7 linked regions of the Xenopus tropicalis genome follow. The protein of the gene in region 2 binds, or shares a complex with, the protein of the main gene of each other region. Links are inferred from orthologs where the notes say so. Each region holds a gene or a part of one and is shown on either strand. Other genes may lie near its edges. The genes, in order: dhx16, srrm2, cwc15, rnf113a, crnkl1, snrpd2 and rbmx2.

What was found.
Region 1: srrm2 (region 2) and dhx16 share a complex: the UniProt entries of both Homo sapiens proteins name them as parts of the minor spliceosome. The link is inferred for Xenopus tropicalis from reciprocal best matches to the Homo sapiens genes SRRM2 and DHX16.
Region 3: srrm2 (region 2) and cwc15 share a complex: the UniProt entries of both Homo sapiens proteins name them as parts of the minor spliceosome. The link is inferred for Xenopus tropicalis from reciprocal best matches to the Homo sapiens genes SRRM2 and CWC15.
Region 4: srrm2 (region 2) and rnf113a share a complex: the UniProt entries of both Homo sapiens proteins name them as parts of the minor spliceosome. The link is inferred for Xenopus tropicalis from reciprocal best matches to the Homo sapiens genes SRRM2 and RNF113A.
Region 5: srrm2 (region 2) and crnkl1 share a complex: the UniProt entries of both Homo sapiens proteins name them as parts of the minor spliceosome. The link is inferred for Xenopus tropicalis from reciprocal best matches to the Homo sapiens genes SRRM2 and CRNKL1.
Region 6: srrm2 (region 2) and snrpd2 share a complex: the UniProt entries of both Homo sapiens proteins name them as parts of the minor spliceosome. The link is inferred for Xenopus tropicalis from reciprocal best matches to the Homo sapiens genes SRRM2 and SNRPD2.
Region 7: srrm2 (region 2) and rbmx2 share a complex: the UniProt entries of both Homo sapiens proteins name them as parts of the minor spliceosome. The link is inferred for Xenopus tropicalis from reciprocal best matches to the Homo sapiens genes SRRM2 and RBMX2.

What each region holds. Positions count from the first base shown.
Region 1 is NC_030684.2:75,481,833-75,485,957, reverse strand, and holds part of dhx16 (putative pre-mRNA-splicing factor ATP-dependent RNA helicase DHX16), read left to right. Parts: intron 1-207; coding exon 208-323; intron 324-496; coding exon 497-707; intron 708-814; coding exon 815-913; intron 914-1,238; coding exon 1,239-1,391; intron 1,392-2,275; coding exon 2,276-2,416; intron 2,417-4,049; coding exon 4,050-4,125. UniProt on the Homo sapiens protein: Required for pre-mRNA splicing as a component of the spliceosome. Contributes to pre-mRNA splicing after spliceosome formation and prior to the first transesterification reaction.
Region 2 is NC_030685.2:12,488,058-12,492,976, forward strand, and holds the start of srrm2 (serine/arginine repetitive matrix protein 2), read left to right. Parts: upstream 1-1,759; 5' UTR 1,760-1,926; intron 1,927-4,560; 5' UTR 4,561-4,583; coding exon 4,584-4,822; intron 4,823-4,919. Other genes in the region: thoc6 (THO complex subunit 6 homolog), read right to left, coding at 1,583-1,600. UniProt on the Homo sapiens protein: Required for pre-mRNA splicing as component of the spliceosome. As a component of the minor spliceosome, involved in the splicing of U12-type introns in pre-mRNAs.
Region 3 is NC_030678.2:164,534,832-164,539,708, reverse strand, and holds the start of cwc15 (protein CWC15 homolog), read left to right. Parts: upstream 1-1,807; 5' UTR 1,808-1,842; intron 1,843-3,309; 5' UTR 3,310-3,320; coding exon 3,321-3,451; intron 3,452-4,877. UniProt on the Homo sapiens protein: Involved in pre-mRNA splicing as component of the spliceosome. Component of the PRP19-CDC5L complex that forms an integral part of the spliceosome and is required for activating pre-mRNA splicing.
Region 4 is NC_030677.2:156,458,060-156,462,651, forward strand, and holds the start of rnf113a (RING finger protein 113A), read left to right. Parts: upstream 1-1,636; 5' UTR 1,637-1,654; coding exon 1,655-1,745; intron 1,746-2,623; coding exon 2,624-2,697; intron 2,698-3,024; coding exon 3,025-3,132; intron 3,133-3,373; coding exon 3,374-3,481; intron 3,482-4,015; coding exon 4,016-4,125; intron 4,126-4,249; coding exon 4,250-4,356; intron 4,357-4,592. Other genes in the region: noc4l (nucleolar complex protein 4 homolog), read right to left, coding at 1,392-1,538. UniProt on the Homo sapiens protein: Required for pre-mRNA splicing as component of the spliceosome. As a component of the minor spliceosome, involved in the splicing of U12-type introns in pre-mRNAs. E3 ubiquitin-protein ligase that catalyzes the transfer of ubiquitin onto target proteins.
Region 5 is NC_030681.2:36,926,239-36,930,853, reverse strand, and holds the start of crnkl1 (crooked neck-like protein 1), read right to left. Parts: upstream 3,196-4,615; 5' UTR 3,167-3,195; coding exon 3,119-3,166; intron 859-3,118; coding exon 706-858; intron 205-705; coding exon 113-204; intron 25-112; coding exon 1-24. UniProt on the Homo sapiens protein: Involved in pre-mRNA splicing process. As a component of the minor spliceosome, involved in the splicing of U12-type introns in pre-mRNAs.
Region 6 is NC_030684.2:70,385,784-70,390,436, reverse strand, and holds the start of snrpd2 (small nuclear ribonucleoprotein Sm D2), read left to right. Parts: upstream 1-1,429; 5' UTR 1,430-1,500; coding exon 1,501-1,502; intron 1,503-4,475; coding exon 4,476-4,653. UniProt on the Homo sapiens protein: Plays a role in pre-mRNA splicing as a core component of the spliceosomal U1, U2, U4 and U5 small nuclear ribonucleoproteins (snRNPs), the building blocks of the spliceosome.
Region 7 is NC_030684.2:38,932,694-38,935,537, reverse strand, and holds the end of rbmx2 (RNA-binding motif protein, X-linked 2), read left to right. Parts: coding exon 1-17; intron 18-395; coding exon 396-727; 3' UTR 728-2,247; downstream 2,248-2,844. UniProt on the Homo sapiens protein: Involved in pre-mRNA splicing as component of the activated spliceosome. As a component of the minor spliceosome, involved in the splicing of U12-type introns in pre-mRNAs.

The sequences.
Region 1 (4,125 bases), on a different chromosome or scaffold from region 2:
AAACACACAACTTTTACCAGTGCAGGGCAGCAGCACATTATATGTTAGTTACTTTTATACACTTTCATTTTCTGGTGTTACTGTTCCTTTAAATCATTTATGTTCCTTTATTGATATTTGAATTTTTAACACCATTCTAAAAAACAAAGACTACAGAGAGGAGTTTCTGTATGTAGCAAAAGCTTTACTCGCACTTTTTTGCTTTAGGTGGGATATAGTATTCGGTTTGAAGACTGCACATCTGAGCGCACAGTGCTGAAGTATATGACAGATGGGATGTTACTGCGGGAATTTCTCACTGAGCCTGATCTGGCATCTTACAGGTATCCATTATGCAATCTCTGGATTTGTATGTATTTAGGCAGGGGACTTCTGTTACATATGAATACATCATGCCTCATACAGAATCTTTAGAAAAATTAATTCATTTGTACAGCGACCAGCCTGTATTCTGTATTACTCTCTCCATTTCCTTATCATTTTTTTTTTCCACAAGTGTAATAATAATAGATGAAGCTCATGAAAGGACTTTGCACACAGATGTTCTTTTTGGCCTCATTAAAGACATTGCCCGTTTCCGCCAAGACCTCAAAGTTCTGGTAGCCAGTGCCACCCTAAACACAGAGCGATTTTCCTCCTTTTTTGATGATGCCCCAGTGTTTCGTATTCCTGGGCGCCGGTATCCAGTGGATATATATTACACCAAGGTAAATCACTGTAGGTTTGACACGAGAATTGACATTGGCAGCATTATTGATGAGATTGGGCATTTTATGTTTATTTCCTTTTTTGATGAATGATATTTTCACAACAGGCTCCTGAAGCAGATTACTTGGAGGCCTGTGTGGTGTCAGTGTTGCAGATTCATGTTACCCAGCCACCAGGAGACATCTTAGTCTTTCTTACAGGACAGGTATGTAGGCAGAAGTGGGAATGTGCTAACCAACAAATATATACGTTTTGGTATTTAAAAAAAAAAAAAAAAAAAAAAAAAGTTTGAAAAGTCACTGACCTTAGGTTAATGTGATATGGGATTATTTGACTGCCTAGATAGAAGTCCCTTCCAGTTAACATCTGTAGGAAATGCAAAAAAAAAAGCTCATGCTAAATAGTGGCAGTGTGAATTTTGTATGTGCAATAACCCTTTGTTAGGTTTATCATTTAATGTAAATGTACTGATGTTATAAGCAGTGCCACTGCTATGCAGTCTTGGTACATGTACATTTCATATGTTGCAGGAGGAGATAGAAACATGCTGTGAGATGCTACAAGAGCGATGTCGTCGACTAGGATCCAAGATTGCAGAGATGCTGGTGTTACCAATATATGCTAATTTGCCTTCTGACATGCAGGCAAAGATCTTTGAACCTACACCTCCAGGAGCAAGAAAAGTATGAGAGTCTAGCTGGTTTTCTTGTACTTATTAAATAGTAAAGTCTGACTCCCACCCTTCTGCCGGACCTAAACATCTAAAATGACGTGTCTGGACATCATCTTGTAGTGTAACCCAATTATGTAGAGAGAGAAATAACTAAACTAAATGCTTAGCACACCCTTTAAGAATAGCACAGACAAAAGATGCTATAAGTTATTCCCTTACATTGTGTGTTTCAGAGAGAAGGGAATTGTGGTACTACTTCTTCCTATAAGGAGTCTGAGGCAAATACCATATGCAGTATTGGGCTGCCCTTCTAAACCTGAGCTGTATAAACTGATGTAACTACCAGTAACTACCCTAAACTGGCACTCCAACGATGTTTTATTATGAATTGCTTCCAGACTCTCCCACAGGACCTACATGGCCTCTAGTAATGTGATTAAGTGTACACAATAGCTACATATGAGGTCTTATTAAATATAGAAAACCTACAATGTGTTCATTAAGGCATGTTAATAAATACACATTATAAAGTATAAAAATGACTGAAACCATTCTAAAGCTGGTATTATATGACTGTGGTACTAACAGAGCATTTCCTTGTATCCAACCCTTGTATATCTGTATAACTGTATGACACTCCCAACCAGTTTAGTTACCATAAGGTTGTCTTTAAAGAAGAGTTCTTATTAATTTGCAAACATACAGGGGTGCCACCCTCAAAGCAGGCTATTCCACATATATATTTTGCAGCTGTATCTGTCATATATAGTGCTTAAATGTTAGGCAGAGCGTCTCAGGGCATGACATTTCCTCTTCCTATTCAAACATGCTGGAGTAGTAGGTTAGAAGGAGTTATGAACCTTTTAGCATTGTCGTATTTTCTTTTTTTTTCAGGTTGTGATAGCCACTAACATTGCTGAAACATCACTTACAATTGATGGAATTATATATGTTATTGACCCAGGTTTCTGCAAGCAGAAAAGTTACAATGCTCGATCAGGAATGGAGTCCCTCATTGTGACTCCCTGCTCAAAGGTAAGTCTTACTAATCTGTTGAACCAATGCTGTCCATCATTTTCAGTGTAGAAGTTTTCAGGCAGATTTTTTTTTATAGATTTAAAAAAATAAAAAAAAAAAGTCTATGGCATACTTGGGCAGACATAGGGTCAAAAAATCTTTGGTACCACAATTGGACAGCTTTAGTTCACCTCCTGCAAGATTTTCAGCCTAACATTAATTTATAACTGCAGAATAGCCCTTAATTTAATAATCAATGAGAAATGCTTTCAAAACAATAAGGGTAAACCCTTATAATGAGGTGTTAGTACCACACTTTGGCCAAAATATGTAAGCTCTTGTGCCACGTCAAGGCCCCTCATTGTACGCGAGTCCTACACTGTCTAATGACTTTGAGTCTGTGATGCAATTAAAATCAAGTCCCCCAGCAAACAATGTGACTGAGTAGTAAGACCCTGTTGCACCTACCTTTAGCTCAAAAAGGCTCTAGTGGAAAAGCAGGGAACTTTTAAGCCCCAGCTCATTAGCACACACATGAAAGTGATTCATTGGTTTAAAGGCTACATAGCAGCTAGAAGCAAAATTTGGCTACAATTTGTACACAAAACACAGAAAGAAATCGCCAGCGCTCGGTCTAACCCACGCTGTAGCGTTGACCAGCTGCTAGAAACACCCTTGTGCCAGCGCTCGGTCTAGCCCACATTCTGGAGTTGACCAGCTGCTAGAAACTATAAAAAGCCATTAATTATACACAAAGAGAAAGAAAGATTGCCAGCACTTAGTTTGCCTTTAAAAATAATTTTTACAAAAAATGAGGTGTTAGTACCACACTTTGGCCAAAATATGTAAGCTCACGTGCCATGTCAAGGCCCCTCATTGTACGCGAGTCCTACACTGTCTAATGACTTTGCTGGGGGACTTAATTTTAATTGTATCACAGACTCAGTGTGACTGAGTAGTAAGACCCTGTTGCACCTACCCTTAGCTCAAAAGGGCTCTAGTGGAAAAGCAGGGAACTTTTAAGCCCCAGCTCATTAGCACACACATGAAAGTGATTCATTGGTTTAAAGGCTACATAGCAGCTAAAAGCAAAATTTGGTTACAATTTGTACACAAAACACAGAAAGAAATCGCCAGCGCTCGGTCTAACCCACGCTGTAGCGTTGACCAGCTGCTAGAAACACCCTTGTGCGCTGGCAATCTTTCTTTCTCTTTGTGTATAATTAATCGCTTTTTATCGTTTCTAGCAGCTGGTCAACTCCAGAATGTGGGCTAGCCCGAGCGCTGGCACAAGGGTGTTTCTAGCAGCTGGTCAACGCTACAGCGTGGGTTAGACCGAGCACTGGCGATTTCTTTCTGTGTTTTGGTAAACCCTTATAATGTCAGCCTCGTCTTGCCAATATTAAAACTAGGCCTTAAAGGGGCGGTTTGCCTCTAAGATAACGTTTATAGATACATTTTAGAATGTCCTACTCCTAGCACCTTTACAGTTCAAATGGGGGTCCAGAAAAATACACAATGTGCATTTTCTGAATCCAAGGTATCATTGGCTTTTTTTTTTCCCCAGCCACTTTTTGAAATGTTCACTCGTCACTATACTGTAGTATACAACATCTAGAGCTCTAAGCAAGTATTGCCATTTGTTTTTCAGGCATCAGCCAATCAAAGGGCTGGGAGAGCTGGACGTGTGGCTGCAGGAAAATGTTTTCGACTTTATACAGCTTGGG
Region 2 (4,919 bases):
ACTGAATAAAAAGATAAGGGATAAAAAGTGACAAAAATGAAATGTTATTGGCTAGTGGGGTCAGTGACCACCATGTAAACGCTGGAAAGATGTAGACAAAGAAGGCAAATAAATCAAAAACTATAAAAAAAATAATGAAGACCAATTGCAAAGTTGTTATGAATAGTACATTTTAACAAACTAAAAGTTATCTTAAAGGTGAACCACCGCTTTCCTACTGTTCCTATATGGCACGCCAGAGGAACCCACTCATGCAGCCCACCCCTCCTGTATGCAGTGCTGCTGAACACAGGGGGCACTATGTACAGTGCCAGGCCCAAGTCTTTGTGCTTATATCCAGAAGTCAAAAGATTTGTCCCCGTACAGCTTCCTTACATTTGTTATAAACGGACCGTGGCAGCTTTACGTGAGCAAAAGATCCCATAATGCACTGCTCCCATTGGGAGATGTAACATAGAGTTCATTGTGATGGGATCTTCTAACCTTGCAGATACACAAGTGGACAAACCTTAAGCTGGCCATACACGTGGCGATCTGACGATGTTTCGTGCGACCGAAGGAGGTAGAAACAATAGGATTTCTACCTCCTTCTGCCGATTCAGCGCTGAAGGTAGATTTTGGTCAGACGCCTTCTATGGCGCCCGATCAAAATTTTCAAACTGGTCCGATCGGCGAGACGACCGATATCAGCAGCTTCCTGCGATATCGGTCGACTCACCGACATACCATACACGCACCGAATATCGTACGAAACGAGGTTTCGTACGATATTATCGGTGCGTGTATGGCCACCTTTAGCCAGATATTGGCCAGGCAGGGAGGGGCCCCTGATAATAAGCTAGTATCTCAGTCTGGAGGAGCCAACTCAGCCGGTTTTTGAAGATATTTGGATCCTAATCCAATTTGCAGTTGGTCTCCATTTTTTCTTTCTTTGGAGCTTTCGGGGACTATTCCTTGGGATCTCCCATTTTGGATTGCAACTGTTATCTGGTTGCTATGGGAAACACAATCAGGGTCGGACTGGGATACCTGAAAAAAACCCAGTGGCCCTGACCCGATCCCCACTGCAGAGGGTTAGGGGGACATGCCCCGCGGGGGCACCTTGGGGGTGAGGGGCCCTTGGGGCAGCAGCCCCGGTTGGCCCTGCACCCCCCCCCCAGTCCAACCCTGAACACAATACAATTACACTGGGATCTGCTGCTCAGCATTGAAAGAACCAGTGTCGGACCGGCCCCCCAGGATACCAGGGAAACTCCCGGTGGGCCCTCCTGCCCCTAATCTAACTTCATGGCCATTCCCTATTTCTGAATGGGAACAAAGAATAGAAATAGATGGAAGAATAGGTACTAGTATATAAATGAGACTAGGAGAATAAAGAAATTGGGTGGGGAAAGGAGGAAAATAGTTTTATAAGTTCATCTATGGTCTAAGGTTTTCCCTGGGGTCTGGACACTGGAAAAAACTACATATCCCAGCATGCCCTGAGGGCCCAGGTGCAGTTAAGGTTTCAACAGCAAAAGAGTTGAACAAGCCCCGCAATAGGGACCGAGAGACAATTTTCCCCATTAACACATTCGTTCACCTCCGCGTTAGCCAACATGACGTCACGTGTTCCGGCCGCTCAGTCCCGGGAAAAAAGCGGGCGCAGGAAAGTGACGTCGCACTAAAACGCGCGGCATGCCGGGACGTGTAGTCCCATAGGCGGAAACCGGGCGGTGACGTCAGCAGGCCGCCGCTCTGATTGGGTAAGAGACCCGCCACCTCTGAGCGCGTTGGTCACATGGGGCTTCCGTACGCAAGGCACGCACGGAACGTACAGCCCGCACCGTGTGTGAGTGGCGCAGCGAAGTGTCGGGGCCAGGCCGCGGAAGCGTCAGCTGAATAGTACCCCCGGAGGCTGGAAAAGAGGGTCCCTCCGAGGCGGAGGTGAGAGGCCTGTGAGGGAAGCGGGGTAGATTGGAAAATGGCGGAGAGCGGGAGGCGAATGGGAAGGCTTTATTAATAGGGACAAAAATGGAGGAAGCCAAACGTGGGAAGCAACGGGGAATTTCCCTCAGTCAGTGAGGGGGCCGGGCTGGCCCGCAGGCGGTGTTACTGTGCTACTCCCGCTACTGCGCTTTGTCCCTTCCCCATAGCATATGGTACAGCGCTCTCTCCCCTCTGGGGAACCCCCCCCCCCCCATACGCACTAGATAATAATGTCATTCTGAGCCCTTAGCCACTGTACGTCTCACATTCTCATTGGTTCATTGCGAGTTTGTTCCTTCTGCACTGCTGCTTCTGACTCCTGCAACAATGTATAATGTGTAATAATTGTATTGAAAAGTTATGTGAAGCCATTTTGGTGGAGATCACCTCTAAACTGGGGGTGATATTAGTAAGCATGGAGTAGAATAGGCCCAGTATGTTTCACATTGGGGGTGGCAGTTTGGGAGGAAGTAGAACCGGGGGGGGGGGGGGGCAGTTTGGGAGGAAGTAGAACCGGGGGGGGGGGGCAGTTTGGGAGGAAGTAGAACCGGGGGGGGGGGGGGGTGGCAGTTTGGGAGGAAGTAGAACCGGGGGGGGGGGGGGTGGCAGTTTGGGAGGAAGTAGAACCAGGGGGGGGCAGTTTGGGGAGGAGTAGAACCGGGGGGGGGGGGGTGGCAGTTTGAGAGGGAGTAGAACCAGGGGGGGGTGGCAGTTTGGGAGGGAGTAGAACCAGGGGGGGGTGGCAGTTTGGGAGGGAGTAGAACCAGGGGGGGGGTGGCAGTTTGGGAGGGAGTAGAACCAGGGGGGGGGTGGCAGTTTGGGAGGGAGTAGAACCAGGGGGGGGGGGGCAGTTTGGGAGGGAGTAGAACCAGGGGGGGGGGCAGTTTGGGGGGAGTAGAACGGGGGGGGCAGTTTGGGAGGGAGTAGAACCAGGGGGGGGTGGCAGTTTGGGGGGAGTAGAACCAGGGGGGGGCAGTTTGGGAGGGAGTAGAACCAGGGGGGGGGGGGTGGCAGTTTGGGGGGGAGTAGAACCAGGGGGGGGGGTGGCAGTTTGGGAGGGAGTAGAACCAGGGGGGGGGGGGGTGGCAGTTTGGGAGGGAGTAGAACCAGGGGGGGGGTGGCAGTTTGGGGGGGAGTAGAACAGGGTGGGCAAACTTTTTGGCCCGGGCCACATTGACTTACAGGGTCAGCGTTACGCCGATGGATTAAAAAAAACCAACGAGCTGGATGTGGCCCGCGGGCTGTAGTTTGCCCACCCCTGGAGTATATATGTGTAACTTTATTTATAAGGTGCCACAAGGGTACGCAGCGCTGTACAGTCTTACAATATACACAGTTACACACAGGGAGGACAAGTGTTATAATAAATACAATAAATATATATATATATATAAGTGCCATGTGGTATGAGACACAGTAGGAAGGAGGTCCCTGCCCCATAGAGCTTACAATCTGAAGGTAACCATATCTGGGAAGGTTTAGGGGCAGTTTGGGAGGGAGTAGAAGGTAACCATATCTGGGAAGGTTTAGGGGCAGTTTGGGAGGGAGTAGAAGGTAGCCATATCTGGGAAGGTTTAGGGGCAGTTTGGGAGGGAGTAGAAGGTAGCCATATCTGGGAAGGTTTAGGGGCAGTTTGGGAGAGAGTAGAAGGTAGCCATATCTGGGAAGGTTTAGGGGCAGTTTGGGAGGGAGTAGAAGGTAACCATATCTGGGAAGGTTTAGGGGCAGTTTGGGAGGGAGTAGAAGGTAGCCATATCTGGGAAGGTTTAGGGGCAGTTTAGAGGCTTGGGATGATGTATTGGTGGAGACGGGAATTGAAGTTATAAGTTGTAGTTCAGGAGTATCGGCTGAGCCAACAAATGGGAACAGGAATCTGAGTCGTCGGGGAGGTGGGTAGAACTGGAGGGCTCTAAAGGTTTAAATAAAAATTCACATTTTAGATAAAGTTGGAAGATTCGGACCAAATGAAAGTGTTTGGGGGGGGCTAATGTGCCGGTTGAAGTAACCAGTTCATGGTGTGTGGGTGATTATATAAATGAGGGTAACTCCCAAAGCACTAACATGGCTGGGTATATTTATCATAGCAGGTTAAAGCCCAGGGTGTTGGGCTTCAGGACTTACTGCATTTTTCATTTTTAATGCATTATATATACTGTATATATGTATATGTGTGTGTGTATGTGTATATATATGTATATATATATAAGTATAAGTTAGGGTCAATGACAGTAGTCACTTGTTGCTGAATAATGGGGTTAGTCAGTATCTGGACTTCATATCTAATGGCACCGTCTTCCTTAATTACCCAGGGCAGCACTAACTATATATTTCCCTCCTAAAGAAACTCACCCCAGAGTGTATCTTTCCACTGCTTCCTGCCACTTAAAGCAGAAATACTGCAGAAAATACAAACTATGGAAAACCGGTAACCAGGCAGAACTGTGGTGCAAATAGACATCTGCCAGGTGTTGGTTTGGATGTTACTTGGCCACGTGGGGTTAACTTCTGTTTCCTCGTTTCTCAGGCCCAACGGATCTATGGATTTGGCAAACTCTTCTGCTCTACCAACATCTTATTTTATCTCTCTTTTAGGACCCTGACTCCCTAGGAGCACAATGTACAATGGAATCGGACTCCCCACCCCAAGGGGCAGTGGAACCAATGGCTACGTCCAACGCAACCTGTCCTCTGTCAGACACAAGAAGGACAGGACCGATTACAAGTCCGAGGAGGAACTGAAGAAGCTGGAAAACCTCCTGGTGAAGAAACCAAACCAGGATATCTTAGATCACGAGAGGAAAAGAAAGGTGGAGCTAAAATGTTTGGAACTGGAGGAGATGATGGAGGAGCAAGGGTAAGAGACACATTAAACCAGTACAGGTATGGGGGTCTGTTATCCGGAAACCCATTATCCAGAAAGTTCCAAATTACAAAATGGCCATCTCCCATAG
Region 3 (4,877 bases), on a different chromosome or scaffold from region 2:
ATAACTGACTGCCTTCTCTCTATATTTGTATTTTATATGTAGGAGTTGCTATATTGTTTTCCTTAGGTAGTACAGTATGAGGGTATAGCACATTTGCATCTGATCCCGCCATTTCATCTATATAAAAGGAGTATTTTTAAAAAAAAATGGGGAGTGGCAATTGGGGCATGGCCACACAAAGTGGGCGTGGTCAAAAAATTAAGTATATAAGTATCTTTGAGAGTGTGTGTTATTTGTGTTAGTTTGTGTAGGCCTCAACTTGGCAAACTCCCTGCAACTCTGGGACCCTGCTGCCCCTTGGGTGAGTGCTTACCCGGTTGCTGGTGATCCGCCTGGGGAGGAACTGACCGGGAGACTTGCTGATTAACCAAACAAACTTCTTTATTCCAAACAGCATTCAGTGGTAATAAATGCAGACTCCGGTATCTCTCCCTTATATCCAAACCTGGAGTTTCTCTTGCTCCAGATAATCTCCCGTTTGGGAATATACTGTGACCTGAGCCAGCCACTGAATTTCCCTGAGCTACGGCCAGTAATGCCGGGAGGTGATAACCTCACTGATCTCCTCGGAGGGGCCTCAAACTGCCCAACTAAATACACTATCTATCTAGTATAAATAAATTTAAAGCAACTGGACTTGTTTGGTAACAAACAAGTCCAGTTGCTTTAGGGCTCTGGCACATGGGGCGATTAGTCGCCCGCGACAAATCTCCCTGTTCGTGGGTGACTAATCTCCCCGAGTTGCCATCAGTTGCCATCCCACCGGCGAACATGTAAGTCGCCGGTGGGATGGCACACGCGGCGCGATTTCGGCAAGTCGCCGAAAATGCCTCGCGAGGCAACTGCGCAGCGTGTACCATCCTTACATGCTCGCCGGTGGGATGGTAGTTCAGGGAGATTAGTTGCCCGTGACAAGGGAGATTTGTTGCGGGTGACTAATCTCCCCTTGTGCCAGAGCCCTTACATTTATTTATACTAGATATACCATGACCTGGATGAATGAAAATCTTCATAGACATACACTATCTATCCTTTCACTCCTAGAGTGACAATAAAATGTCTAACTGGCTCCTGTAGCTAACCTCTTAGAGAGGTGAAGTCCCAGGAAGAAGACCTCATGGTTTGTGAGTCCATTCCCTTTTATATTGCAGAACACCACCACCTAGTGGTCACTGCTGAACTGCAGAGGAAACTCTCTTTTAATCTGGAAAGAATAATTATAATAATATAATAATTAAAGATGAATTAAAAAGTTAAAAAAAAAATTGTAGATGTTTATGTAAAGTTGGGGGGAACACAGGTCAAAAAATTTCATAACGGTAATGATGCTTCATTGTTATTTGTATATGACAATAAACTAGAAACTATAGCACACACACAATTAGGACCACCCTTAGGTCCATATCCCACAAGGCCACCCACTGGTATGCCTGTCTAAAGGGGAACCCAGGCACAGGGGCCCAAATCTTGGGGTCCCTACATAAAAATTATTAAAAAGAATTAATGAATAACAAAAAAGGGCAACTAATTTAGTAAAGAGAAATCTCAGTTATGAAAAATGACTGCTCGGAAATGTTCTTATGTAAACCAACACAGAGAAGTCAGAAGCCCTGCACAGTGTTATATAATATTCTCCCTTTACCGCACATACACCCCCTGATTCATTACATAGCCACAACAAACATGGCCGCCGACGGCTTCCAATCAGCTGGAACGCCCTCTTGCTTACGTGACGCGTACTCCGAGCGCCGGAAGTTTCCCGGTGGAAAGAACTAGCGCGACGGGTAATTGTGACGCCAGTCGCCGTGGGATTTGGTGCTGGGGCTGAGGCGCTGTTACGGGGTGAGCGAAATCGCACCTTTGGGAAGAGGGGAATTCAGGCTGAACGGCAGCGATTATTTTAGTCATAGGGGATTGAGGCCCTCTAGGAGCAATATATCGCCCCCCACTATCCCTGTTGGCTGGGGAAGCTTACAGCTCGGCTTTATCTACTTAGCAATACTGTACCCTCCTGCCCAGTCTGTGAGTCCCCTGCTAATGTAAGGGAACTCGGCTGGTTAAGCCTATGGCCAGCAATATCAACTTGAGGGACAATTGAAAGTACAGGCATGGGATCCCTTATCTGGAAACCTGTTATCCAGAACGTTCCAAGTTACAGAAAGGCCATCTCCCATAGACTCCATTTTAATCAAATAATTCAAATTTTTAAAAATGATTCCCTTTTCTCTGTAATAATAAAACAGTACCTGTACTTGATCCCAACTAAGATATAATTACCCCTTATTGGAGCAGAACAGCCCTATTGGGTTTATTTAATGGTTAAATGATTCCCTTTTCTCTGTAATAATAAAACAGTACCTGTACTTGATCCCAACTAAGATATAATTACCCCTTATTGGGGCAGAACAGCCCTATTGGGTTTATTTAATGGTTAAATGATTCCCTTTTCTCTGTAATAATAAAACAGTACCTGTACTTGATCCCAACTAAGATATAATTACCCCTTATTGGGGGCAGAACAGCCCTATTGGGTTTATTTAATGGTTAAATGATTCCCTTTTCTCTGTAATAATAAAACAGTACCTGTACTTGATCCCAACTAAGATATAATTACCCCTTATTGGGGGCAGAACAGCCCTATTGGGTTTATTTAATGGTTAAATGATTCCCTTTTCTATGTAATAATAAAACAGTACCTGTACTTGATCCCAACTAAGATATAATTACCCCTTATTGGGGGCAGAACAGCCCTATTGGGTTTATTTAATGGTTAAATGGTTCCCTTTTCTCTGTAATAATAAAACAGTACCTGTACTTGATCCCAACTAAGATATAATTACCCCTTATTGGGGGCAGAACAGCCCTATTGGGTTTATTTAATGGTTAAATGATTCCCTTTTCTCTGTAATAATAAAACAGTACCTGTACTTGATCCCAACTAAGATATAATTACCCCTTATTGGGGGCAGAACAGTCCTGTTGGGTTTATTTCATGGTTAAATGATTCCCTTTTCTCTGTAATAATAAAACAGTACCTGTACTTGATCCCAACTAAGATATAATTACCCCTTACTGGGGCAGAATAAGCCTATTGGGTTTATTCAATATTTGAATGATTTTTACCAGACATAAGGTAGGAGATCCCTTATCTGGTCACGAGCATTCTGGATAACAGGTCCCATACCTGTAGTATCATTCTGCCTTTCCTGTGCTCTGCGCTGCTGCTTCTGACTCCTGAAGCTGTGTAGAAAAAGTCAGCTTATGAAAGTAGGAATTTTAAAACAGTTCTTGTATTTGTGTGTGAAACAGTTGTGTAAAAGATGACAACCGCGGCCAGGCCAACGTTTGAACCAGCAAGAGGCGGCAGAGGTAAAGGGGAAGCCGATCTCAGTCAGCTCTCAAAGCAGTATTCCAGCAGAGACCTCCCCTCTCACACTAAGATCAAATACAGGTATGTGAGTGGCTAAGGCATGTAAGATATTTGTTCTGTAGTCCTTAACATGGCACAGTGAATTATGTTGGTCATTAAAGGGGAAGTATATCCCCCTTTTCAAGATTATTTCACTTGTGCTTGTGTTGAACATTCTTTTTGTTATTATTTACAAACCATTATGAGACACCTCTGTATATGGGTGAAGACACACGGAGCTACTAGTAGCAGCTACTTGTCACGGCTACTAAAATAGACAGTGCTGATCATTTACTGATAATTGTCTCTAAATTGTGTGTTTTAGCAGAGGCAATTCTCAGTATTGTCTGTGGCAGGGGATTTTCTGGCGTTTAGTAGCCGTGACAAATAGCTGCTACTAAGTACCATGTGTCTTCATCCTAATACCTGTTCCTTATCACAGAGCCTAATGACTAAAGGCTGCCCCTGGGGGAAGGGAGGGGTTTGTTTATACAGTGGACTTTTCGTATGTATATATTTATTAAGCGGTACTTATGTACGCAGCGCTGTACAGTAGAATACATTAATACAAACAGGAGGTTATTAAAATAATAGATAAATACAAAGTATAACAATAAATACAGATAAATACAAGATACAGTTGCAATAAGTTAAGAGTCAAAGACACAAGAGGATGGAGGTCCCTGCCCCGTAGAGCATACAGTCTAGATGGGAGGGTAACTTACAGACACAAATAGGCAAATATAAGTGCTGTAGGTCACAGTGGGTGACATTACAATATAAGTGCCAGTTCCCAGATCAGGTGCTGGGTGAGTGCTCCAAAAGTTAGTCTTTAAGTTTAGTTTTAAGAACACTGGGGAGGATTTTCTTCGGAGGAAATCTGGGAGGGCATTCCAAATATAAGGGGCAGCAAGTTGGGAAACTGCAGTAGTAGTGGGGGGGGGGCGTAACCAAGCAGTTACTCTGCGAGGAACAGAGGAGTCGACCAGAAATGTACGGCGACACAAGGGAAGAGATGTAGTGAGGAGCAGAGGAATGGAGGGCTTTGAAGGTTAGGAGAAGGAGTTTGTAAGATATTCTTTGTTTAATAGGAAGCCATGATAAGGACTTTAGCAGGGGAAGGGCCTGAACTCTCCTGGATGAGAGGAGGAGAATTTTGGCAGCAGTGTTTAATATAGACTGTAGTGGGGAAAGATGGGAGTTAGGGAGGGCAGTTAGCAGCAGGTTACAGTAGTCAAGTAGTCGGGATAGGATGAGAGCATGCATGAGCAGCCTAGCTGTTGCAGTAGAAAAAAAGGGACAAATTTTAACAATATTGCGCAGGAAAAAGTGACAGGTTTTGACAGGGCTGTTAATATGGTCAGAGAAGGAGAGACTGGAGTCAAATATCACCCCCAAACAACGCGCCAAATAGACAGGGTTGAAGAGGGTGCCATCGATAGAGATCCTATGAACTAAAAGTAAAATG
Region 4 (4,592 bases), on a different chromosome or scaffold from region 2:
AGTTAAATATGGTAATGTTTCATTATACATTAACATTAAAGTGATAGTGCAGCAATTAGCATAAATAATGCCACAATGTGCATAGATTTGTTTAGGTTTGTTAAAATAGCATAAAAGATAATAATTTATAAGATAATCAAAAACAAGTGCAAAGTGAATAAAGCATGGTTTTAACAATACAAACACATAGTTGTGCAAAACAGAACAACAAGGCTCAAGCTCCCTTTAGAAGACCCCTGTGTCCAGGAAGAGGCAGCAGCGGCACAGTGGACACAGAGATCATATGTGGGGGGGGGGGGGGGGGGGGGGGTTCAAATTGGAGAAGGAAAATTCTAGCTGGTGGAACAGTAATCCTGTAGAGGAGCATTGTCACATGAAGACGCTGGCAGAGTTCCGAGAAGGGAACCACTATCAAGTAAGAGATTTAACGACACATTAGCTTGCATGCAAGTATCTAGAGAATTTTTAAAGACCTCTAAGTTGCTCTCAGGAGTACATAGACTGTGATTACTATGGGGAGGAATATACAAGCTGTTACAGACCAAACAATAATCACAAGGGAACAGTTCCTGTGTGACTGATTCTATACCGTAATATAGGAGAACTGAAACTCGCAAACACATTTGTTGTTCTGTTTATGGAGGGGGTGAAAATGTGTGGTAATCGGAAAAGTGAGAGTCAGAAGGTTGCGGGGGATAAAGGGGAAAGTTAGGAAAAGTGTGAGATCAAAACAGAAGGTCCTGAATGAAAGGGCAGCGGAGGTAATAGGGAAAGCAAATGAGAAAAGACAAGAGGTTAGAAAGAATCTTTCATGGAATTGTCGTTGCTACTAGAATTTTCCTCTCCCATTACCCACAACTATGTATTCATGCCATTCTGTTTTCCCTGCACCACCCAGTGCTGATTCTGACTGCCAACAATTCGGCCTGATGTACCAGCAGTTCCACTCTTTTCAGACCTGAGCATTCAATCTTAGCTCTGCCCACCGCTGTCACGCCTTGCCCACCTGGCCCTGTCTGTAGGCTGCAGTCTTTTCTAAATAAATATTCAGACAGGATCTTTCTTGCTGATTAATAATAACATCAATTATACGTTGAGTAGGCTGGTAACCTTAGCAATCTGATATGTTACCCTCGCTAAAAGCTCTCTCTCTCTGCAAAAATGTAATTTTTCACATTTCCTTTTTTCCCTAATGGCCATCTCCCATCTGTCTTTTTCTATCACTGGTTGCCGAGCCCTGTTATAAGAACTTTAAAATACTTCCAGTCACACTGTTTAGACGTGCATACTGTCACACAAAATGTTGTGTTTCTGTTTCGTGCAAAAGATGTTCTTCTTTGTCAGGGCTGCTGTTATACTGTTTGCTAGCACACTGCAAAGCGGGCACTCACCTCCAGATGTTCCAGAATATCAAACACCGCGTTGGCATTGGTTCTACTTCCCAGTACTGCTGCGAGTTTGCTATCCAAATCGTGGCGCTCGGCATCACTTTGCTTGGCAAAGCTCGAACTCACACGTTTCGCTTTGCGCGCTGCCATCTTGCTACTGGAGCAACGCGACTTCCCCCCGGTAATGCGCCTGCGTGCGCTTTCTAAACAGGAAGTGGCCTCAGCCAATGCGCGCAATCTGGAGCTAGTCTGGCGTCACAGGAATAATGGCGGACTCTAACGCACCAGTTTGCAGTTTCGTGTTTAAAAAAAGTGCCCGAAAGTTCGCGGGACGGAAACGCAAAGAATCGGACAATGGTGAGACAAGGAGAAAGTGGGAGTGCAAATAAATGTTTATTATAATATAGTATTATAGGCATTACACGCTTACCGTGTATAAAATTCAGCAAAGTGTTGGGATGGAGTAAATGAGTTAAATGCAGAAGAGAGCGCAGATACAACTAATTGCGCAAGTGTTGTTGCTGTTAGCAACCAATAAGGTTTTTGCTTTTATTTTCAAACGTGTATATTGGCCAACTATTCGACTTTGTTCCTTACTCAAAACCACTATCTTAAAGGAGATGCAGGTGAGGGTGGCTGTATTGTTTGCTGGATATAATTACCATTAGAAATCAGTAGCATGTACCAGGGAATTAAGGTCCAAATGACAAAACAAAAATCAAACCCATCAAAGTATTTGCAAAACATTAACAACAACAAATATAATTATACATACAGCCTCATTTACTGTTCATTGGTACAGGTATGGGACCTGTTATCCAGAATGCTCAGGGCCTGGGGTTTTCCTGATAAGGGGTCTTTCTGTAATTTGGATCTCCATAACTTTAGTTTGTTAAAAATCATTTAAATATTGAATAGGATTGTTTTGTCTCCAATAAGGATTAATTATATCTTAGTTGGGAATCAAGTACAAGATACTGTTTTATTATTACAGAGAAAAAGGAAATCATTTCTAAAAATGTGAATTATTTGATTAAAATGGAGACTATAGGAGATCCGTAATTTGGAACTTTCTGGATACAGGTTTCCGGATAAGGGATCCCATACCTTTATGTCACTGGGCTCACATGCATTTGGTGTCTTAAATTTATCGAATTTCAGAATAGTACTTAGATGCATCTGTTGTATAAGTGTGTTGTACTATTCTGATCAGTCCTTTACTGATTTGTTTGCAGAGAGCAGCGAGGAAGAGAAAGGTCCAGTGATAAGGAGGATAAAGAAGGATGTGGTTAATCCCATGATTCAGAAGGTTAGAGTCACAGGTATTCACTATGTCACCCTGAGGCCCCAGGAGCATTAAGGAGCTTTATAAAATTTTCTGCCAGTTAATCTTTCAGAGTGGGCAGCAACACTTCTCCCAGATATTTCCTGTAGACCTCTCTGTTTAGAGATATAGATACCACATCATCTTCTCCTGGCAGCTAATGGCTGAATGGAAGCACAACACATGCCATAACCCTCTCCAGCCTGTCACCCTGTGTGCAGGACAGACGTTAACATGCCACAGAAGGGATGTGTGTAGTGTTTGTCCTCTTGAGCTTTCTGGTAGTTGTATTTACCTCTGTGTGTGATTTAGAGCAGGCAGCAACCAAAGGACTGTGAAGATTACAAAGCAAGCAGCAGTGAAGATGAGGACAAAACAGCGAAGTCTATCACTGTGTCTTATAAATCTACCCGATCTGCGGTAAGAGACTCTTTTGGAATTGGCTTATTCTTAGCACAGGCTTTATGTCATAAATGTTAAAATCTTTGAAACCCATCATCAGTTAGTTCTTTGTGATATTTTATTCAGTTTGTGAATCAGCCTATGCTGTCTGTCTTGTTTCAATATAAATGATGCATTGAAAAAAAATCTGTATTTATAGAATGACATGTCTAAGACACCCCCCATTTCTTACTATGTATGCATTCTTTGTTTCTTGCAGAAACCAGTAGGGCCAGATGACATGGGAGCCACAGCTACATATGAACTAGACACTGAAAAAGACAAGGATGCTCAGGCAATTTTTGAGAGGAGCCAGAAAGTACAGGAAGTGAGTATTTAGTATGTGATGCAGTGGATTATATATTCACCTTAAACTATGAGAGAACCACTAAAGCAGAGAACCCCAACCTTTCTTACTCATGAGCCACAATCAAATGTAAAAAGACTTGGAGAGCAACACAAGTGCCATAAAAGTTTGTGGAGGTGCCAAATAAGATAGGTAGCCTCTATGCACACCATCAGCTTACGAGGCTTTATTTGTTAGCAAATCTTGTTTTTATTCAACCTAAACTTGCCACCAAGTCAAGAATTCAAAAATGAGCACCTGCTTTGGGGGCAGTGAGAGCAACATCCAAGGGGTTGGTGAGCAACATGTTGCCCCCGAGCCAATGGTTGGGGATCACTAAGGAATGCAATAAGTGTTAGTAAAGCATGCAGTGTTCTGCATGACTTACATGCAGTTTCTTTAAAAATTCTGTGCTTTTTTTCTCTTCACTTTACTTTCTTTAATATTGTAATACTCTCCTTTTCATAGATGACACTCTGTTTAGTTCCCACTATTTATTTTGCTTTAATCTGACAGGAGTTGAAGGGGAAGGAAGATGACAAGATCTATCGAGGAATCCACAACTACCAGAAGTTTGTGAAACCCAAAGATACCTCTATGGGCAATGCATCCTCTGGCATGGTTAGGTACGTGTACCCCTCCCACTTTCCATTCTGTTTTAATTTAGAAACATTTCACTTTTCAATCAACTGGGTGATTAAATCCTAATAGTTTAGTCTGCATTGATAACTTTAACTTTTATCATTTTAGGAAAGGACCAATACGTGCCCCAGAGCACCTCAGAGCCACAGTACGTTGGGATTACCAGCCAGATATTTGCAAAGATTACAAGGAGACTGGGTTCTGTGGGTTTGGAGGTCAGTTGCTGGATTGTGTTGTACCCCTTTCCATTAAATGTCTGTTGTTCCTTTGGCCCTTTTTGCCCATATTTTATTCTCTCTTCCCTTACTATTATTTATTATGTAACACTGCAAGTTTTACTCACAGCTAGTTTCACTTATACTGGGCCTAATTTAAGTACACAAGTATGAGCAATTACCCATAGCAGCAGTCAGTTTTTTACTTTTATTTTCTAACTTGTGGACTGATTAAT
Region 5 (4,615 bases), on a different chromosome or scaffold from region 2:
GCACGTTCGTATATAGACCGTGCCCTAAAAGCAAGAAAAAAAATTCAAATCATTAATAAGCGTAAATTTAATTTTAAGCCATCTATGCCAATTTAATTAAAAAAGTGAATACCTCTGAATTTCCTTTAGACTTTCCTCCCATTGTGCATATTTTATCCAGTTACTAATAACCGTCCTGTTCTTCCTAATGTTATCTTCAAAGGTCTGAAAGAAAGACACCACTTTTAACATTACGACTCTAAATAGAGATAATTATATCCTGTATTTATTGAATTGAGACATCAATTCATTTATGAATGAGACATCATCATGGACACAGGCAGCAGTGAATATCTCAATAATATCCTTAAAAAAAACATTTAGATTACTCTCTGGAAGTTCCGATAGTGTTCATGCATTGTTTTCTAAATTTTTCTGTATGTAATCATGTAAAAAATGTTAACAAAATGTATTTTTATACAACTTTTAGAATCATATCCCCAAAACCTTACTTGCAGCAGGCATCTGTACATTTCCTGCATTTCAGCATTTTGCACTGTAGGATGCCAGCCAATCTGCAGCTCAGCAATCATAACACAGAACTACAGATTAAACATAAACTTCCATGCTGCAGAGAGGACCTGACAGCATCTGTATAAAATGCACCCTACTGCTGCAAATGCTGTCCCATGGTAAATGAGTTTTAGCCACGGCTGAAAGCATTACCTTCCTTTTCCTTAGTTTGTAATCATTAAGCTCTTCCTCATCTGTGATCTTCTGTTTAGGAGGTGGAGGCAGAAGCTCAAGTTCCCTCTCTTTGGCCTCTCTCAGCAGCTGCTCGGCTGTAATCTGCACCTCTGCCGGCGCTTTGTTTTTAACCTTCAGTGGAACAAGAACACAAAGTCAGTTAGGGAAAAAGGAATATTTCTGGTAGAATAGCAGGTTGACTGTTGGAACGCAAGATGCTAGTTCCAGTTCAGAAACAGGTGCACATTTGTGGGTTCAGCCTTGATACCAACATTTCAGAAGACAAATGTGAGGGGGCTACAAGGATGGCACAGCTATGAATGAGGGGGCTACAAGGATGGCACAGCTATGAATGAGGGGGCTACAAGGATGGCACATCTATGAATGAGGGGGCTACACGGATGGCACATCTATGAATGAGGGGGCTACAAGGATGGCACAGCTATGAATGAGGGGGCTACAAGGATGGCACAGCTATGAATGAGGGGGGCTACAAGGATGGCACAGCTATGAATGAGGGGGGCTACAAGGATGGCACAGCTATGAATGAGGGGGGCTACAAGGATGGCACAGCTATGAATGAGGGGGCTACAAGGATGGCACAGCTATGAATGAGGGGGGCTACAAGGATGGCACAGCTATGAATGAGGGGGGCTACAAGGATGGCACAGCTATGAATGAGGGGGGCTACAAGGATGGCACAGCTATGAATGAGGGGGGCTACAAGGATGGCACAGCTATGAATGAGGGGGGCTACAAGGATGGCACAGCTATGAATGAGGGGGGCTACAAGGATGGCACAGCTATGAATGAGGGGGGCTACAAGGATGGCACAGCTATGAATGAGGGGGGCTACAAGGATGGCACAGCTATGAATGAGGGGGGCTACAAGGATGGCACAGCTATGAATGAGGGGGGCTACAAGGATGGCACAGCTATGAATGAGGGGGGCTACAAGGATGGCACAGCTATGAATGAGGGGGGCTACAAGGATGGCACAGCTATGAATGAGGGGGGCTACAAGGATGGCACAGCTATGAATGAGGGGGGCTACAAGGATGGCACAGCTATGAATGAGGGGGGCTACAAGGATGGCACAGCTATGAATGAGGGGGGCTACAAGGATGGCACAGCTATGAATGAGGGGGGCTACAAGGATGGCACAGCTATGAATGAGGGGGGCTACAAGGATGGCACAGCTATGAATGAGGGGGAGGGCCTAGGGGGCTACAAGGATGGCACAGCTATGAATGAGGGGGGCTACAAGGATGGCACAGCTATGAATGAGGGGGGCTACAAGGATGGCACAGCTATGAATGAGGGGGGCTACAAGGATGGCACAGCTATGAATGAGGGGGGCTACAAGGATGGCACAGCTATGAATGAGGGGGGCTACAAGGATGGCACAGCTATGAATGAGGGGGGCTACAAGGATGGCACAGCTATGAATGAGGGGGGCTACAAGGATGGCACAGCTATGAATGAGGGGGGCTACAAGGATGGCACAGCTATGAATGAGGGGGGCTACAAGGATGGCACAGCTATGAATGAGGGGGGCTACAAGGATGGCACAGCTATGAATGAGGGGGGCTACAAGGATGGCACAGCTATGAATGAGGGGGCTACAAGGATGGCACAGCTATGAATGAGGGGGGCTACAAGGATGGCACAGCTATGAATGAGGGGGGCTACAAGGATGGCACAGCTATGAATGAGGGGGGCTACAAGGATGGCAGCTATGAGGGGGGCTACAAGGATGGCACAGCTATGAATGAGGGGGGCTACAAGGATGGCACAGCTATGAATGAGGGGGCTACAAGGATGGCACAGCTATGAATGAGGGGGCTACAAGGATGGCACAGCTATGAATGAGGGGGCTACAAGGATGGCACAGCTATGAATGAGGGGGCTACAAGGATGGCACAGCTATGAATGAGGGGGCTACAAGGATGGCACAGCTATGAATGAGGGGGCTACAAGGATGGCACAGCTATGAATGAGGGGGCTACAAGGATGGCACAGCTATGAATGAGGGGGGCTACAAGGATGGCACAGCTATGAATGAGGGGGCTACAATGATGGCACAGCTATGAATGAGGGGGCTACAATGATGGCACAGCTATGAATGAGGGGGCTACAAGGATGGCACAGCTATGAATGAGGGGGCTACAAGGATGGCACAGCTATGAATGAGGGGGCTACAAGGATGGCACAGCTATGAATGAGGGGGCTACAAGGATGGCACAGCTATGAATACTAATTCTCCTGGGTTCTACTCGCTACCCATCAACCACAGCGTTCGTATTATCGCTAAATGTAAGACAACTCCATCAGCAAGTCATACAAACCCCCGTACAGACCTTCTGCTAAGAATCTATCCCAACTTTATTACCTTGGCCACTTTTGGAATTCGCTGCTTCCCCGCCGCTGTGGACGCCATGTTTCCTCACGTCTGCAACACAACCTGACAGGAAACACCAAGACGGGGCGTAATGACGTAGCGTTGGTTTTACGTGCTACGTAATAGTCTCCGTAGGACTTTTGCTGGTTTCGGTGACCGCCCCTGATGAATGTCACGCCCAGTCCCGTGTCCATAGCAACCGAGTATCGCGTCCTGATCCTGAGCGAATGCCTTACAGCTGCTGCCTGCACAAGTGACCGAACCCACTGAGCTTCCTGACAGGTAACAGGGAAGCTGCATATCGTGCTGTATAACCTTGGATTTAGCATGAATAGTGAAAATAACATGTATGGGTCTGGAACCCACAGCCGGCCTTGCGTGACCACTGTGCGCCGCTAAGCATTGGGCAAAGAGCCCCTCGGCGCTAACTGCTGATTGGGTGCTAGGGTTTCTGCACTGGCGCAAAGTTCAGCACCAACTAGTATGTTAGTAAATGAACACTATCTGTAAATGCTGATATTAATTATTTATGCATTGTGTCCGCCTGTTCTGTCTTTGTTATTGAAAATGGAACCTGCACATATTATGAACATTTGCCTTTGAGTAAATACAGTTTAGCCCAATGAAACACGTTAAGGTTCTGGAACTCTCTACAATTTGATATACTTTTCTGTTATAGTCTTTTAAAATACACTTTGACGTGTTCTGGGGTGCTGACTCCTAAGGGCTTTCATTATTTGTATTATTTCACCTGCACCTTCATGATCTGAGAGCCAAGACCTTACCTGAGCAGACATTAGCTTGTGTGCTATGGATCATGAGTTAAGTATATTGAAATGTGCATTTAAAGAAAGGGTACTAGGGAGGACCAAAACGTCACGTTGGCTGTATATGTACATTTAAATATACTTTTTTGATTTGCACAGAAATCCCAGTGTTGCTGGTCTTTTTTGTATGTGTTATGTTTTTACCATGCACCTGGGTATATAATTAAAGCCATGTGCCACCCCTCTGGTAATATATATATATATATATATAATAGAAAGAATGCCACACACACAGGGGTTTGATGCAAAAGAAAAAAATGTTTTTATTGAAAAAATTCCATATATATATATGGAAACAGGAGCTGCCGGCAGTCACATTTAAGGAAGCTTGTTATGCCTGGATGCAGTCTTCAAGTAGTAGCGAATAAGGGAAAATTGGAAGCCACTCATGCAGGTCTTAAGCTGGCCATACACGTGGCGATCTAACGATGTTTCGTGCGACACATCGTCAGATCCGCCACACACAGTCAGGGCTGAAACAGCAGATAAGGAGGTAGAAACAATAGGATTTCTACCTCCTTCTGCCGATTCAGCCCTGACGGCAGATTTTGGTCAGGCGCCTTCTATGGCGCCCGATCAAAATTTTCTAACCTGGCCGATCGGCGAGTCGTCTGATATCAGCAGCTTCCTGCGATATCGGTCGACTCGCCGACATGCCATA
Region 6 (4,653 bases), on a different chromosome or scaffold from region 2:
ACCTGTGCCTTTTCTCCTTTTTTCAATTTAAATGGCTGCCCCCATGGCTACACAGCAGGGTATTTATATAAACTGTAGTAGTGTTTATGAAGAAAACACACAACTTTTACCAGTGCAGAGCAATAGTACATAATATATTAATTATTTTTATACACTTTCATTTTTTGGTGTTACTGTTCCTTTAACTTTTAGTGTGTTATAGAATTGCCTATTCCTATTCATTATTTCTTATAGTTTTGAATCATTTTTTTATTTTCTTCTAACTCTTTCCAGCTTTCAAATAGGGGTCACTGACCCCAGCAGCCAAAAAACTATTGCTTGGTGAGCATACAGTTTTATTGTTATTGTTACTTTTTATAACTTGTTTTTCTATTCAGGTCCTCTCCTATTTATTTACCACCCTTTCATTCAAATTGCTACCTGGTCGCTAAGGTAATCTGGACTCTAGCTCTAAGATAGCTGATGAACAAAAAGTGAAAGAACTAAAAAAAATACTACAAATAAAAAATTAAGACCAATTGCAAATTGTCTCAGAATATTACACTCTACATCAGGGATCCCCAACCTTTCATACCTGTGAGCCACATTCAAGTGGAAAAAGTGTTTGGGAGCAACACAAGCATGAAAAAGGTTCCTGGAGGTGCCAATGAGAGCTATCATTGGCTATTTGATAGCCCCCATGTGGACTGGCAGCCTACAGAAGGTTCTGTTTGGCATTATACTTGTTTTTTATGGCTGCAAAACATGCCTCCTTTACCAGAAATTCAAAAATGAGCACCTGGTTTGAGGCCACTGGGAGCAACATCCAAGGGGTTGGAGAGCAACATGTTGCTCGCAAGCTACTGTTTGGGGAACACTGCTCTATATCATACTAAAAGTTAATTCAAAGGTGAAGAACACCTTTAAATCTGCTACGCAGTAAAGCTATCCATTCAGTTATTTTACACAATAGGACACTAAAAAGTGTACACATTTTCTGGTCGGTCTTCCAAATGCTTTTGCAATTCAGATTTGTTTTCAGTTTCAAAGTTATTAAGCATGTTATAAGCGTCTATTATAATTATTATGTAACAATTGCGCCACCTACTGGTATATCCCTCCAATTGCACAATCTGAGAAAACATGGTCAAAATGAAACATGGAACTGTTCTTATTGCGCTCTTTAGCGACTGAATTCCCAGCACAGAGCGTTGCCTTACATACTGGAACAATATTGGAATAAGATTTGCCTTGTCCTATAACCACTCTAGGAACTAGATGCGCCCTCTTTGTTAACTAATCCACCCCGCCTTTTCTCTGTCAGATTACGCCGCTGCCCCTCTGCGTAGCAAACTGGAGGGAACTTGTTTCGTGTCGATCACGTGGGCACGTTTCTACAGGCTTAACCAAATCAAGCAGGAACTAGCCGCTAAAGTGGCCCGGAAGCGGAAGTGGCCCTTCAAAGGAAGCGTTCTACACGCCGGGAAAACGTGAGAAGGGAAAGGAAAGACAAAAAGAAAGATGTGAGTAACTGGTGGAATATCTTCAGCCCAGCTTTAAATACTTAAAAATAAGGAAAAAAACTAGCCTTTTGTATCTACTTAAGTTTAGCTGATTGACGCTTAGAACGAATGCCTCTATGTAGCAGAGCATGCGATTGTACTAGCCGGAACTTGCCTGCACTTAGAAAATGCTGTGTAGTTCTGTGATTTAATTACTGTGGCAGAGATGGCAGTGCCAAAAAGCTTCCCTTGCAGGCTACCAGCACCAGGTCGTGTGTATAAACAGCTCCCCGGGTTTTCTCATTATGCAATTGCATGTGACACTTGCTCACTATATACAGGCATGTTAATAACATGGCTACCTGCAGCAAGTTCTCCATCATCCGGGTGTGGGTGGCACATCGCTATGAGCATTTTTTTGGACAAAATGGTACTGTTTCCCCCAACCTAAGTGCGGGTTCTATTAGCCCAATTCAAATCCGATATGTGTCTTTTAATACTAAGCAACTATTCAGTATACACGATTTAAACATTTTCAATGGTTCTAAATGTTTTCAATCAATTTCTAATCAATTCCATATCTTTCCTGGTTGGACCCACATGACAAGTTTCTACAAAGGAAATATTCTGCAGCTTTATGTGCTTGCACGATTATAGAGATCTGTGTGGTCAACTTAAACACTAATTTGTGTTTAAAAAATGCATATGACTGAAAAATATGCCTTTTAACACATTCAGCCCAGACTTTTTTGTTAGTTTATTAAGGCTTAATTGCTCTAGCAATAAGGGGTGGGACTTCACACATGCTCAGTAATGTTTTTGACTATGGGGCACTCCTTTAAAAACATGGAGGCAGCAAGTAGATAGCGATGGGTAAAAACAGCTTTAAACATGATTATTTGGGGAAAATTAAACCTAGTAATTAAAATCGTACCAAAATGGACAGTTAATAGGGTAACCCATTTTTAATAAAATTGTATTCTCCATTAAACAAAAAATCACCAGTAGACGTTTTGTTGTCAGAAAAATAGTGTTATATCTGATTTAGTACAGTGGTGTGAAAAACTATTTGCCCCCTTCCTGATTTCTTATTCTTTTGCATGTTTGTCACACTTAAATGTTTCTGCTCATCAAAACCGTTAACTATTAGTCAAAGATAACATAATTGAACACAAAATGCAGTTTTTAAATGAAGGTTTACGTTATTAAGGGAGAAAAAAAAACTCCAAATCTACATGGCCCTGTGTGAAAAAGTGATTGCCCCCCTTGTTAAAAAATAACTTAACTATGGTTTATCACACCTGAGTTCAATTTCTGTAGTCACCCCCAGGCCTGATTACTGCCACACCTGTTTCAATCAAGAAATCACTTAAATAGGAGCTACCTGACACAGAGAAGTAGACCAAAAGCACCTCAAAAGCTAGACATCGTGCCAAGATCCAAAGAAATTCAGGAACAAATGAGAACAAAAGTAATTGAGATCTATCAGTCTGGTAAAGGTTATAAAGCCATTTCTAAAGCTTTGGGACTCCAGCGAACCACAAATGGCAAAAACATGGAACAGTGGTGAACCTTCCCAGGAGTGGCCGGCCGACCAAAATTACCCCAAGAGCGCAGAGACAACTCATCCGAGAGGCCACAAAAGACTCCAGGACAACATCTAAAGAACTGCAGGCCTCACTTGCCTCAATTAAGGTCAGTGTTCACGACTCCACCATAAGAAAGACACTGGGCAAAAACGGCCTGCAGGCAGATTTCCAAGGCGCAAACCACTTTTAAGCAAAAAGAACATTAAAGCTCGTCTCAATTTTGCTAAAAAACATCTCAATGATTGCCAAGACTTTTGGGAAAATACCTTGTGGACCGACGAGACAAAAGTTGAACTTTTTGGAAGGTGCATGTCCCGTTACATCTGGCGTAAAAGTAACACAGCATTTCAGAAAAAGAACATCATACCAACCGTAAAATATGGTGGTGGTAGTGTGATGGTCTGGGGTTGTTTTGCTGCTTCAGGACCTGGAAGGCTTGCTGTGATAGATGGAACCATGAATTCTACTGTCTACCAAAAAATCCTGAAGGAGAATGTCCGGTCATCTGTTCGTCAACTCAAACTGAAGCGATCTTGGGTGCTGCAGCAGGACAATGACCCAAAACACACCAGCAAATCCACCTCTGAATGGCTGAAGAAAAACAAAATGAAGACTTTGGAGTGGCCTAGTCAAAGTCCTGACCTGAATCCTATTGAGATGTTGTGGCATGACCTTAAAAAGGCGGTTCATGCTAGAAAACCCTCAAATAAAGCTGAATTACAACAATTCTGCAAAGATGAGTGGGCCAAAATTCCTCCAGAGCGCTGTAAAAGACTCGTTGCAAGTTATCGCAAACGCTCAATTGCAGTTATTGCTGCTAAGGGTGGCCCAACCAGTTATTAGGTTCAGGGGGCAATTACTTTTTCACACAGGGCCATGTAGGTTTGGATTTTTTTTCTCCCTAAATAATAAAAACCCTCATTTAAAAACTGCATTTTGTGTTTACTTGTGTTATCTTTGACTAATAGTTAAATGTGTTTGATGATCAGAAACATTTTGTGTGACAAACATGCAAAAGAATAAGAAATCAGGAAGGGGGCAAATAGTTTTTCACACCACTGTATATATTCCCAATTCTTGCATAGACCAGTATGTTAATGAAATCTAAACTGTGGTGGGGCTAATAGTGACATGAATGGTTTATAATCTCTCTAAAGAGCTGCAGAATGTATCAGCGCGTTATAATAATCTGTATGTATACACCCTTTTATTGCACAGTGCCAATAAATATGTTGACACTTTATAGATCCATGTTAATAACATATTGCCAAATAATTCCCTGCACTTATACACAAAACTAAGAGTTGGACAGCGCATATTGTGATTTTGTTAACTGACACCATTGTTTGTAATTAAAAGGTTTAATAATTTAATGCCATCTCACACTGATTCTAAATCTCTTCAGGAGTCTCCTTAACAAGCCCAAAAGTGAGATGACACCTGAAGAGCTACAAAAGCGAGAAGAGGAGGAGTTCAACACAGGGCCACTGTCTGTGCTTACTCAGTCTGTGAAGAACAACACACAAGTTCTGATCAACTGCAGGAATAACAAAAAGTTGCTAGGCAGAGTAAAAGCCTTTGAC
Region 7 (2,844 bases), on a different chromosome or scaffold from region 2:
ACCAAGGAAAAAGAAAGGTGTTTTATCAGTAGTTTTCTAATAGTGTGAACTCGTTACAAGTAGCAAGGGATGGATTGCTTATACCCCCCCCCCAAAAAAAAATACAATCACTGTTATGTTTTCATTAAACAGGAGAAGTATCCTAGAATACAATATTTTAATTTACCTAAGCACATTTAACCTTTCAAATTGGGGCCTTTTTTTTACCTATCATGCTGTTGCCTTATTCACAGCATTAACTAGTGATGGTAGCAGGAAAAATTATCATATTTTATTACAATTTCCAATTTTACATTTGCCATTATTATTATAGTCCTGCTGGTTGTTTACAGCTGATCTGTGTATTTAATTCTTCTGCTAAACTAAATTGATAGTTTTTTGTTTTTTCATGTTAGATAAGAAGAAAAAAAAAGACAAAAGCAGGAGGAAAGAGGAAGAGGGTGGCAACAGCAGGCATAACAAACAAGAACGTTTGGATTCCCCTTATGACAGATCCAGGACAATTGAGAAGTTTTCCAGGGTGGGAAGTGAGAGCTCAAGGGCCATGGAAGAAAACCGTGGCTCTCACAAAAAGAGTAACAGCAAAGGTGATTCCCATGATAAGTACAAAGAACAGCACAAGGAAAAAGAGGAACGCAAAGAGCGAGAACAACAAATGCCAAGAGATAAGTACAGAGAGCAGCAAGAGCAAAGATCAAAAGACAAGACAGAAAGAGGCAGAAGGTAGCAGAAGAGTATGCTTTATGGGGACAATAAGAGGTGGAACGTCTGTGCAGTGTTTAAGCCCAAGTTGTTATTAAATACATACTAAGGACCCTTGGTGTACAGTGTATGGAATGATGCATGGGAGAAGGATTTTAAGAAGTAAAAGGCAATTGTGATGTACTGGCCACTTTGAAATGGCAGGAGCTGAACCTTGCTATAATTGTTTGTCTGTCAAAAAACTAAATTAGAAATACAACTGCTGAGCAGTGATAAAAAATATTTGAAAAACTGGTAGACAAAGTAAAGTGACATCAGTTCATGAGGTATTAAAATAGAGTAATCTGGCGTAATATAGTAGAGCTTTACCTGCAGAATGAGATTTTCCATCTTTAAAATCACCAAGATCAAATGTATTTTTTTTACTTTTTAACAATACAAGTTTTATTGAACAGATTATAATAGATTTAGTTCACAAGCAGAATTAAAATATAGTATAGCTGGTACATCAAGGCATATGCAAATAGTACACACATTTTACAAAACTGGAGCAATGGCCTGTTGTGACTGCACAAATAGCAGTGTGTATCATTTAGGGCATTACATACAGTCATTGTATATGAAGAGGAAAGAAAAAACAGTATAATAAGGGTTACATTATATGCACCCATGCTGCCAGAGGGGGTGATCACTATTGTAGCCTTTAGAAGTGAATCAGCACTGGAATGACAAGTTATTGGCATCAGTGTAAAGCAGTGCCCTGCAGAAGCATTAACTTAAATCATGTTAATTTCAGTGTACACCTAAGGGGTCGTACAGTATTCCAAATTTGTCGGGCATCCCAGCATAAATAACTTTGTGCAGCGCAAACACCATATTGATGTGCTTTTTTCCAATGGGCTTTCTGCTTTTCAGTGTATTACAATGATGAGTATTGCTACTAGTTTTCTCACGGCTCCTGGTAGGGGCTAGTGGATCTGGCTGTATCAGCACATTATTTATGACCATCTAACTGGTATTATCAAACTTCCGAACCTTTGTATCCTGTGACAGGACCAAATGACATTTTAGGGCATTTACCAGAGATACATTCTTTGTAGACATTTACATTCTTATTTGTCTTTAGCTCTGACCAGATATTAATATTGGGAGTCTACAATATCAGGGCAACCTAAACTTAATGCATTTAATATTATTTGGTCCACAGATGGAGTTCTGGAACAGAAAAAATTCAGAGCATTATGCCAGACCTACACTACTTCTTGTATTAGTGGGGTTGGTTTGGAACCTCTGTATAGAAGGTTTTTAAGCTCTTCATATGTACCTATAATACAGACTCCTAGGGGGTGATTTATCACTTTGAGTTTTTTTCACCCCTTTGAGGGGGAAGCCCACCACCAGGCTACTGGCCACTGGATAATATAAAAAGCTATTGGATGCCACTAACCCACCACTCTCTTGTCAAATGTATGTTTATTAGATTTATTTGGTGGTCATAATGTTTTTGTTTTTTTTTTGACAAATAAAGCAAGATTTGTGTATTCATTTCCGCTATTACATGAATGTATTTAACTAGCTGTATTATTCCATCAAAATAAAATTGCACATCCATGATAGCCCAGTTTTCTTTATGTATTCATAGAAAGGAATAGACCACAAAGCAAAAGATGAGAAGAATTTTGTTCGTCCAATTGCAGCATACACTATATACAGTTCAGTTTGGACATAAATTAGAACCCATCCTGAAAGCTTGTGTACATTCGCCTTTAAATAAAGTATGTAGGGTGGTTGCCCACAACTTTAGCCCATATGCTTTGTCTGTTATTTAAATGATAATAAAAAGGCAGTTTGGCATTTTATTGCCAATAGATTAACCACAATAGTGCAAGCTAGAATGCTGTATTTATTCTGCAAAATGCTTTGCCATACCTGAGTAAACGGTCATAGAAGCTCTCTCCGTTTATTTAAAATAGAAGCTGCCATTTTAGACTGATGTCCCATTGAGAGATTTATCCACAATAGATCTTTGCTACAAGGGGCAAGTAATCTCTCTAAAATGCCTTCCCACTGGCAACAATACAATTTGGCAGTAAAAAGGCCTACACATCGCTTCTGTTTTCCAAAGTTTCCTCCTGCAGTCAA